Linked DNA regions of Arabidopsis thaliana. The protein of the gene in region 1 interacts with the protein of each later gene in a pairwise test. Each region holds a gene or a part of one and is shown in the gene's direction. Other genes may lie near its edges.

The links. The genes of interacting proteins can lie anywhere in the genome.
Region 2: the proteins of AT5G40670 (region 1) and BBD1 interact in a protein complementation assay, tested with the Arabidopsis thaliana proteins (one large-scale study listed by BioGRID).

The regions. Positions count from the first base shown.
Region 1 is NC_003076.8:16,283,653-16,288,856, forward strand, and holds AT5G40670 (PQ-loop repeat family protein / transmembrane family protein), read left to right. Parts: upstream 1-2,058; 5' UTR 2,059-2,315; coding exon 2,316-2,434; intron 2,435-2,525; coding exon 2,526-2,658; intron 2,659-2,937; coding exon 2,938-3,027; intron 3,028-3,119; coding exon 3,120-3,244; intron 3,245-3,334; coding exon 3,335-3,377; intron 3,378-3,458; coding exon 3,459-3,576; intron 3,577-3,675; coding exon 3,676-3,725; intron 3,726-3,804; coding exon 3,805-3,939; 3' UTR 3,940-4,295; downstream 4,296-5,204. Other genes in the region: AT5G40660 (ATP12 protein-like protein), read right to left, coding at 1-105, 188-465, 537-711, 1,093-1,509; AT5G40680 (Galactose oxidase/kelch repeat superfamily protein), read left to right, coding at 5,102-5,204. UniProt on the Arabidopsis thaliana protein: Thought to transport cystine out of lysosomes.
Region 2 is NC_003070.9:28,280,695-28,286,273, reverse strand, and holds BBD1 (bifunctional nuclease in basal defense response 1), read left to right. Parts: upstream 1-2,105; 5' UTR 2,106-2,392; intron 2,393-2,634; 5' UTR 2,635-2,642; coding exon 2,643-2,928; intron 2,929-3,028; coding exon 3,029-3,199; intron 3,200-3,309; coding exon 3,310-3,359; intron 3,360-3,458; coding exon 3,459-3,515; intron 3,516-3,609; coding exon 3,610-3,675; intron 3,676-3,770; coding exon 3,771-3,845; intron 3,846-3,930; coding exon 3,931-4,049; intron 4,050-4,141; coding exon 4,142-4,233; intron 4,234-4,423; coding exon 4,424-4,485; 3' UTR 4,486-4,490; exon of another isoform or gene 4,491-4,565; 3' UTR 4,566-5,079; downstream 5,080-5,579.

The DNA.
Region 1 (5,204 bases):
GTTTTCACGGGATAGAGCAAGAAACACTGTAGCTGATGAGATCTGAACTTTGAGATCAGCAACATCAATGTCATGCCCGCCTTCGACTAGTCCCCATTTGTCCACCTGCATGAAACATGCGACAAAGATTAGTTTTTATAGAATGTCAAAGCAATAGATTTTGGCCAAGTGAGTGACAAAATGAAACCTGTAAATCTTCTTCAAGTCTAATCAATTTGATTGCATCATCGATCTGGAGTTTCCCACAGAAGATACCGAGGGCGATTACTATAGAGTGAGCTGATGCTTGGAGTGCATCAATGCTTGCGAGTTCACCATCATTCGTTTTCTTGAGCAGTTCTTCTACTGCTTTCACTAGCTTGTCGTCTTGTTTACCCCCGAAGATGCTAGAATACACTTTCGGTTTGACCCGAAACTCTGACTCTATCCACTCAAGTAGAGGATCAATACTCTCTACCTGAATATCTGCAAAAGACACAACTCAATAAGTGTAAAATCTAGGAGGTAGTTGAAATTGAAGAGAAAGTGTATTTTACCATGGACGTCACTAGTTAGATCATTATCTTCAGGTGCTCGGAAAAAGACGAGATCTTGATGTATCTTTCTCGATAAATGTTCTATGATCTTTGAACGCGTAAGAGGAACTCTTTCAAGTGCAGTACATGCTAGTCTCATAAGCGGCATTGTGAATGGTCTGATCCCTTCTGTTAGCTAACACAAGATCATCGTATTGATTGATACCGAGTCAGCTACCACACAAACATAAGTAGATGCAAAAGGATCACAAGAGAAAATGAGCTAGAGAACTGCAAGCCTAGTTCTTTAAATCTCACTTCAACTAATCGAATTATCAACCTATTGATCACATTAGAACTCAGATTGCAAAGTCCAGAAACCGATCAAACATTAGGGACACTAAAGAACGGTAAGCTCTCAGCTTTAAGTTGAATAAGCAATGAGCAGACCCAATTACAAGGATTCTAGCTAACTTAAATCAAACCCAGTACTGATCAGCTACAAAACAATAGCTAAATAGCTTAAAGCAATAAACTTTAGAAGTAAAACAGATCAAATTAGTGAAATGGAACAAACCTGATACTCCCACTCAGCAGCAATGGCCTTAGCAAGTGCCAAAGAACGAAGCTTGAGAGGTCTTTTCGAAGGGGTTTTAAGGGTTCTATAATCAAGCATCACAGTCCATCCATTTCCATCATCAGCTTCTCTAGTCGTCACTTTCTTGTAAAACCTCTTCCCTACGATCGAACCAGTCATGAAAGACGTCGGCATCGTCACTGAATCCGATTCGTTTTTCCGGCGAGAGTTCGGAGCTTTCACTAAGATGGGTTTCTCATTTTCCTTCTCGAATGTGAACGACGACGAAGATTCCGATGGCTGAGTATCGGAATCGGGTTGACGAGCGGCAGATGTCGTACATAAGGATCTAGCACGAATAGCAAGATTAGAGTTTCTCGCTGACTTAAAAGCTCTTCCGATTAACATCGCCGCCATTAATCCTCCCTCTCCGGTGACGAAAATGGGGACCTCCTTGCTTAGGGTTTTAGATCACATAGATCGTCAGATCCAAGCCTAAACGACGTCGCAATAACCCGGAGTGATAGTTAACCTCTACTACAATGAAGGTGTTTTGATAATTGTGATTATAATTACAATTTTATTCTATCTCATTGTAATCAGCTCTGTAATATAATATTTGTAAAGAATTTTTTGACAAATATCATTTGGGTTATATAGACAATCTTTTTTAAAAAAATTGGCTAAATTTAGTTTGTAAACTTTTCTATAATTTTCAAGAGTTACACTTACACCAATTCATTATGTGATATGTATTGTTTCATCCGTAAATTAAATAAACTAAAGTATTCTTACCCAAATAAGTAAATTTTATTACTCTAAATCCAAAAGTTTTGTTAATTAAGTGATCCGAGTCCCGAGAAAAAAATGATCCGAGTCAAAAATGCTGAAACTTAACTCAAAACGGCATCGTTTTAGCCGCCGGTTTCAAAACTTTAAAGAAAGAACGTAACCATAAAGAGCGCCAGATTCAGAGATAAGGCTCATTAAAATCACCTGCTTCACCCATCACGCTAAGATCGTGGAATCTTATATCACTAGACTCTCCCAGATCATGACACGTCATCATCTTCATCATGAGACCCATAATTTTTTGAAACTGTTTTATTTCACTCCCCAATAATATTTTCTGCTTTTAGCTCTTTTTAAGGCTCTTCAAAAATCTCCGTCAACGTCGAGAACAAAATTTGGAGAAATCGAACAGACGATCGAGATCGAGGAAAATGGCGTCGTGGAATTCGATTCCGCTGGAGATCTCGTACGAAATCGTTGGATGGATCGCGTTTGCTTCGTGGTCAATTAGCTTTTACCCACAGCTGATTTTGAATTTCCGTAGGAGAAGGTAATCTAATCTACCTTTTGTTCTTGAGATTTTGTTTCTATATCTGTAGTTGAAATTGAAATTGATGAAATCTTGGTTGTGTTTGGGAAAGTGTTGTTGGATTGAACTTCGACTTCGTGATGTTGAATTTGACAAAGCACTCGTCGTATATGATCTACAATGTCTGCCTCTACTTTAGTCCTGTTATTCAAAAGCAGTACTTTGACACTTATGGCGATAAAGAGGTTTGTTTCCTCTTTCTCTCTGTTATTCATTGAAGCATTAAGCATTTAATGAATTTGATTGTGGAATCTAGAAATGAGTTTTGTTTGGATTCTAAGATGGTTCTTGTTGGCTCTTATCTTCATGGTTACAAGTTTACCTTTACTTATTAGCTAATGAAGTCAAAATTGAAGATAAAAGTTTGTTCCTTTCTAAGTTTCAGCAAAAAAAAAACGCTTTAGATTGTTCGAGCTGGTTTAATTTTTTTTGAGTCGTTTTGTTATAATTGTTGCTTATTTCAGATGATACCTGTGGCTGCAAATGATGTTGCATTCTCGATCCATGCAGTTGTAATGACAGCTGTTACACTGTTCCAGATCTTTATCTATGAAGTGAGTAATCAAGTTTCTTAGGCTTGCCTTTGTCTCTTTATCCCATACAAGTGTTCTTTTTTTCCTGATGATTTCTAGTGATTTGCTCTCAGCGTGGACCTCAAAAAGTATCCAGACTTGCTATAGGTATTGTGGTTGTTGTGTGGGGATTTGCAGCTATCTGTTTCTTCATAGCATTACCTACACACTCTTGGCTATGGCTCATTTCAATCTTCAAGTAAGTTGTTGCGCAAAGCCTTCTGAACCAATTCTTTTAGTGGTAATCTAACAGTTTTGATGATAATGGTTTATTTGTTCATTGTTATAGTTCGATTCAGGTCTTCATGACATGCGTCAAGTACATCCCACAGGTCAGAAAAGATTCCAAACCTTAATTTTTTTCATTATTGATTGAATCAGCATTACTCAGATTTTATGTGTTTGCTTCACAGGCAAAGATGAACTTCACTAGGAAGAGCACAGTCGGGTGGAGCATCGGGAATATTCTTCTCGATTTTACTGGAGGACTTGCTAACTATCTGCAAATGGTTATACAATCTATTGACCAAAGTAACAATCTCTTCTCTATCACATCAATAGCTTTTGTTTTCTCTGATAATAACATTTTGAAAGAAAACTAAAACTATCTATTTCCTTTGGTTCTTCCAGATTCTTGGAAGAATTTCTATGGGAACATGGGAAAGACTCTTCTCTCACTTGTAAGAAAATTGATGGAGTTTTTTTTTTGGTTCAATTCTCTCTCTGTCTCTAATAAACGTCTCAAATTGTTTTTAACAGATATCAATATTTTTCGACATCCTCTTCATGTTTCAACACTATGTGTTATACCCAGAGAAGAAAGTCTCAAAATCTCCGGAAACTGGTGAGGAATCGAACGAACCACTCATTGATTCTTCTCATGAACATGTTTAAAGATCAGATTCTCAAGAGTCATTAGTTTCAGCGTTCCCACTGTATATGTTTATATCACAAAAAGGTACAAATGTGAGAACTCTTCAGATTGTCGTAATATCAGTCTAATGTATCAAATCAATTATCACAGAAACAGCAAATGTATAATACAATGTTCGATCTTGGGTTATATTTTAAGAAACAAGATGAAAGTTAATAGAGCACGATCCATTACCCATAGTAGTGCATCTACTAGTAGTCTTAGGCACAGCATAGAAGAGTTATATCTATGCAAGATCCAACCAAAGTCACTATGGTTCGAGGGGTACCATGAACCATCATCTTCTTGGCAGCGCATATCGATAGGGTCTTCTCTAAGGTTCCGTTTGCGTCCTCTGCTTTTTCTACCCACTTCTCTAATCTCCAGTTTTCTACTTGATGCATCGCGAGCTGTAGTGTACCCCATAGGAGTCCATTAACAGTGAACACCATCCTTTCTTGTCTTGTTTCCATACGTATCATGACCAGAAATTTCTATATGTATATCACTCTGTCATGACAAACTTTATTTCTCAAGTTCATTGATAATACATTTGGAACATGGAAATAACTTAAAACTAAGTAACTTACTTGAAATTGAAAAGATAGTCAAACTTTTTTTTTGTCAACTTCATAATTCTTCATTAAAAGTTTGCCAAAAAAAACAGTCAAAACTGTAAAACTCATTAGTTCTTTTATGGTAGAAAAGTTAAACAAAACAGTCAAAGTTTTTGAAACATTTATCAATAGTATTTTATGGAAGATGGTTAATATCATTTGACTACCATTGTAGATCATTAAAAGCAAGATAGCCTCTATATATATCTTAGTAACTTTTCTTCTAATGATTGTATTACTGGCTCTGCCTCATCTTCCTAAATAACTAAATCAAACCAGGATTCAAGTGGGAGGCCAATGCAGTCTTCACTTTCAACTTTCAAGGTATAGAAATGTAGCATATCTTTCTAATCAACCTAATAACTATGTGATACATTTTCTACATAATCACCAGTTATCTTCACCATCGGCACTTTGCTAATAGCGGATTATTGAAATATTTTAATACAAATGCATACACTTCCATATTATAATTAATGATGATTTATTCATATTAGTTTTTGTGGTTTGGAATCTACAGCCTAAGATGTCATTGATGCTACAAAAAAATCAAGCTCGTGGAACTAGAGCAAGCCTGAGCCAATTTGAGCCAAGAAAGCTTCTGATTGCTAGCACTAAACCCACCATCC
Region 2 (5,579 bases), on another chromosome or scaffold:
GATATACTATTTTATGGTCGCTCAGACTGTTGTCTAGTGTATGGATTTATCAAATTCGTTAGTTAAGCCTGCCTATACTATTAATTAACTAGGTTTGCTAGCTGTGTGAATAGCGATAAATATGATTTAAGGACCACATTTGTTTTACTTTACATGGGTTGTGTTTTGATATTATGTAGTCCAATTTATGGATTTCGGATTAAAAATAAAATCTCGTTAAACAAAAAAATAACTAAGTTATCATTCCGTCATAGTTGCGCATCTCACTGAGATACTAGTGTCATTTCGAGTGAGTAATGAACCACATAATCTATATTTGGACATTGGAGAAAATAAACGATATGAAGTGTGTGATTTGTCCAACATGACAATCAAAATAAAAACATAATATGATCTATGTGAATTAATAAGAAACAGAAAAAGGTTAAAATTGAAACAAAAAAATACGCAAAGTGACAATAAAAAGAAAAGGAAAAAAGAATGAAAGAGTGGTAGGGTTGGTCGGGAGAGGCTGCAAAAGTCGTGAGAGTGAGTGAAGGAGGCTTCGAGCAGCCGACATCGAGAATCTTTAAAAGTCGCAAAATATCAGTAACACCTTATCACATATACAATATACGAGCATCTGAATATATTTTCTATTTTAATATATGACCAATAATTAAAGTTTCAATTTAGCTTTTCTTCAAACAAAAGGGCTTGAAGCTTCCTCTGGATCTATCTAGAACCATTAAAAAAAAAAATTAAATGTTAAAGAAAACAAAGAGATGTCGGCAAAGCTTAGTAGAAGCCCAACAATTTAAAATATAATCGCTACCTCGCTAGAAGCAAGGCTCGTTAGAAAATATGGGTACTTATTGGGCCATAACTTTGGGCCGGAATTCAACAGAATTTTTAATATGTATTGTGCAATCATTTTCTAGAGATCCGAGTACTTTCATTCTTTCAAGTTACCAGCAATGTCACAAATTGGAGGAAAAATACAAATGAGTAAAAAATCCAAATATTGAGGGAGATATTTTTGAGGCTGGGAAAATGGATAACGAAGGAACGTTTGTGAAGCCATTTACCTATCAATTTTTGGACCGATAAGGTATTTGCATATCAATGGGCCCATTATTGACATTGACTTCTTAGCTACAATATAGTTTCAACTTGATTATTTCACTTTCCTCGATTATGACTTGTATTTTCCGCTTATTGGCCAATACTCAAAGACCTTAATATATTGCTATTCTTTTATATTATCACCTGATAGAAAAATAAATCTTAAATTCATATTAAATTAACTTATGTATTTAAGCTTATAAAATAAATTGCTCATTAATACAACTCTTTATTTAAGATCAACTATTTTATTTTTGTTAATTTATAACCAAAAAGGTGCATCTAGAAGCTGGAGAAAAAATACGTAAGATAGAAAAGAGAGCCCATGTTTCTAATAAATTCTACTACTACCTTATCCAAATCCATCTGTGTGATACAGATGCGCAAGTACACGTGGCATCCATCTAGGCGATTTATTTTTCGTCTGCCGTTAGTTGATGACGTGTCTAGCTGGTACAATTTCTCGTTCTCACGTCATCCGGCTATATTATTGAAATCCCTTTTTCACCCTTCCATTGCACACATTTTCCTCTCTTGTTTTTAAGTCGTAAATTTCACACAATTTCCTAATTTCTTATTTTAAATGAAAATGAATGAATCAAGAAACGACGAAATCAAAACTTTTCCACCAATCAATTTTAAAAGAGGCTTTTGAATTATTTTGTCGACCAAAAGAAGAAGTGAATTATTCCATGCAATTTTATATTAATAGATTTTATTATTATCTATTAATATTGTGTTGGTTGATCTTTGCTCACATTACAAGTAATTGACTGTGTCCTAAAATGAAAACAAAATCATGTGTTCTTTTAGTAAATTATTTGGAACTATTTATATATATATATATATATATGTTGATGTCTTTCGTTAGTATATTTTTTTCAATTATTTTATACAAATAAGTTGAGGTTAGTACTACAATATCATATTAGCTTTCAATATTGTTTTTTATATACAAAAAAAAACAAAATTAGGAAGATTATGGTTTACATAAAAAGTTGGCAAAATTTTATTTTCATGACTAAAAAATTAGGCAAAATGAAACAAAATTTGGTGAAAGGGTAAAATCGACAATTAAAACAAAAACTGCGTCGATAAAGTAACGGAGATTCTTTCACTCCTTTGATCTCTCAAGTGAAGAATCTCTCTCTATCTCTATCTTCTTCCATTGATCCTTTCCTCTCTCTGGCTTGTTTCAGAGCTCTTCGATCTTCTTCTTGATCGATCTACGTGCCACTGTTTATACCATTCACGATCTAATCCGGTTTCAATTATTACTCACGAAATCGTAAGTGAATCAAAAACTGTTTACAATCTTTCTAATTATTGATCATCATCATCATCAAAATATTTGTGAATATCTATGGTATAATTCGATGATCATTGATTGTTTTGACTTTTTGAGAATATATATGGAAACTACTGTTTCGTTGTATGGATCAGTGATCTAGAATTTTGCCATGTTTCGTTTACTTTATGAGATTTTGGATTTCGTTATGTTTGACACTAAAATACTCTGTTTGATTGAAGGAAGGAAGATGAGATCGGTTCAAGCACCAGTTGTTTGTCCTGCAATTCGACCAAGACAAGTAGGTGCATGTGCTTCACTAGTCAACTACACTGGTCTGAAACCTAGAAGCCAATTTTGGGGTAATCGGACAAAAGGTGTCAAGTCTCAGGGCACTACCACAACAATCACTCTTAGATTGTGCAACAAGAGTATCAAGTGTGTTTTCAGCTCTCACTCTGATGGTAATGGAAGCACTGCTGAAAATTTCAATGAAAATGATGAGGAATATGTTAACTCTAGTGTAGTGGAAGCTGGTAAGTTAGTGGGGATTAGTAGAGTTTCCTTGTTTGGTTTGATTTAGTTCTTTTAGTTTTTCAAAGTTGGTGTCTTTTTGGGTGTTTTTGAATGTTGTAGTTGAAGTAAAAAGTGGAGCAGATGGTTTTATGGTGAAGATGAGGGATGGTAGGCAACTACGATGTGTCCATAACAATCCTCAAGGAGGGCATTTACCAGATTATGCTCCACACCCTGCTATTGTCTTGAAAATGGAAGATGGAACTGGTCTTCTCCTTCCGATTATCGTCTGTACGTGAAAATCTGTGTTTGAGTTGCTTAGTTTTGGTGATCTCAAAGTGTTTCTCTTATGCCACTCTCACAAGGTTTTGAGTATGTTGATTTGTGTTTTGTTATTGCAGTGGAGATGCCTAGTGTGTTACTTATGGCAGCAATGACCAATGTCCAAATTGTATGCTTTTATTTCTCGTTTGTTTTGTCTCTCTGTTTGGAATTTAGTTAAGAGTGATTGAAGAGAGATTTTATGATGTTTTATGGTTACTTGTTGCAGGCAAGACCAACCATGTATCAAGTGGTGAAGGAAATGGTGGACAAGATGGGTTACGAAGTATGTTTCGTGGTTTCAGTTTCTGCTCTTTTATTTAAATATCCTTGTCTCGTGAAGATTGTGTTTCATGAAAATTTTCTGAACTATTCTACAGGTTAGACTTGTTAGAGTCACCAAAAGAGTTCACGAGGCATATTTTGCCCAGTTATTCCTTTCAAAGGTCTGCAACTGGTCTCTTATATACAACTTACATTCAGCCTTGGAAACTTAAATCATTTCCTATGTATTAAGGCTGGTTTTGGGACGATATTGCAGGTGGGTAATGCCTCGGAGTGTGTCAGCTTTGATCTTAGGCCTTCAGATGCAATCAATATAGCTGTTAGATGCAAGGTATTACATAGCTATGTTAATTAATCAGCTGAGGTAAATACAAATGTGTGTTTGGCGGTTGAAAATTGTGTTGATCGTTTTGTAGATACCTATCCAAGTGAACAAGTACCTTGCATATAGTGATGGAATGAGAGTCATTGAGTCAGGGAAGATATCAACACCGGCACCAGCTTCAGATGGTTTATTATTTACTGAACAAGACCGGTAAATTTTCAGACACCTTAAAGATCAATCTTTGCAGATCACATCTTTTTACTGTGAATTTGAGTGCCATAAACTTTTTTGACTTTGTGCAGACCAAATGGTCAGGCTTGTCTTGATACGAAAGAGTTCAATATTTTGAGCAAAATGATGCAAGCCGTTGATGAAGAGCGATATGATGAAGCCGGTAAGCTTTGCTCTAGTCTCTATATCCACAATGTACACTTTATTAGTGGTTACATAACTTACTGCTATGATTGGTGGCCCAGCATTTGAGACCAATCTGATTTATGTATGTAACAGAAACTTTTATAGCTTTTCGTAAATCTTGGTCTAATCTCTAATGATCAATACACTGTTGGTTATATGATTTGCAGCTGAGTGGAGAGACAAGCTTGGTCAGTTTCGGGCCAAACGTAACTTGAGGAAATACACATGAGAGAGGTAAGGAGATATAAACGAAAATGCATACTAAATGACGTTATCATTTCTCGATACTTATGTTTCTCCTTGGGGCAGCTCGATCAACAATTATTGGCTGTGTACATAAACTAAGAAGAAAGTCATTGGTCGGAATCAAAGTGGAGGAAGAAGCCTGAAGTGTCGTCTCTGTATGATGGAGATCGAAGAATGCTTCTGCACTTTACCCATTTCCCTAAAAAATAAACAAAAAAAAATGTATAATGTATGTATGTAGCGTGATGTGTACATATTACTTATTAATCTATGCAAATTAAGCTCACTCTAATTACTTTTAAGTTTCCTTTTAAGTCTTATGTTCGTCGTATTTGTTTTCGTGCTTCTTTCTTTTTATAATAATTTAATTATATATTTTTGTTATTACTTGCAGCTGTTTGTTGTTTATCATAGAAGCAATGTGGCATATGGTTAACATGAAATTTGAAGAAAAGACAAAATCACTGGCTTTGCCGACATATCTGCAGTGTCTTTGTTTTGTTTGTTAGTACTGCATTGTCTAAATCTAAATCGTGACAATAAAACAGGATAATTATTTTTCATTATGATGTTCTTTGGTAAATATGTCTATAAATATTCTTACTAATTTACAAATATATATATTCATGTAAATTTTATTATTCAAGAGATCTTACGCAGACATGGTTTTCACAGTACCATTAAGATTATATTCAACTGGTTTGTATTATATTTAATTTATAAATAAAAATTGTCAATTGATAATAAATGGAAAGAAAAAATTAAAATGAAAAAAAATCCATATCCATTCAAATAAAATATCTCGCAACATACGTTTCATACGACAAATAGTGTGACAAACTGACAACCACTTGTCAGAATTGGGCTCTCAATATGGGGAAAAAATAGTCAATGTTATTAAAAAGACAAAAATAAATAAATAAAGGAAAATATATCTAAAATCAATAAGAGATTAAAAAATAGAAATAAATCATGTATTTGGCACATAAACAAGTCATATATCGACAAAAGCCTAAGTTTGGTAGATGAATAGTGATTTTAAATGGTACATAAGCAATTCAAATATGTATAGACAAA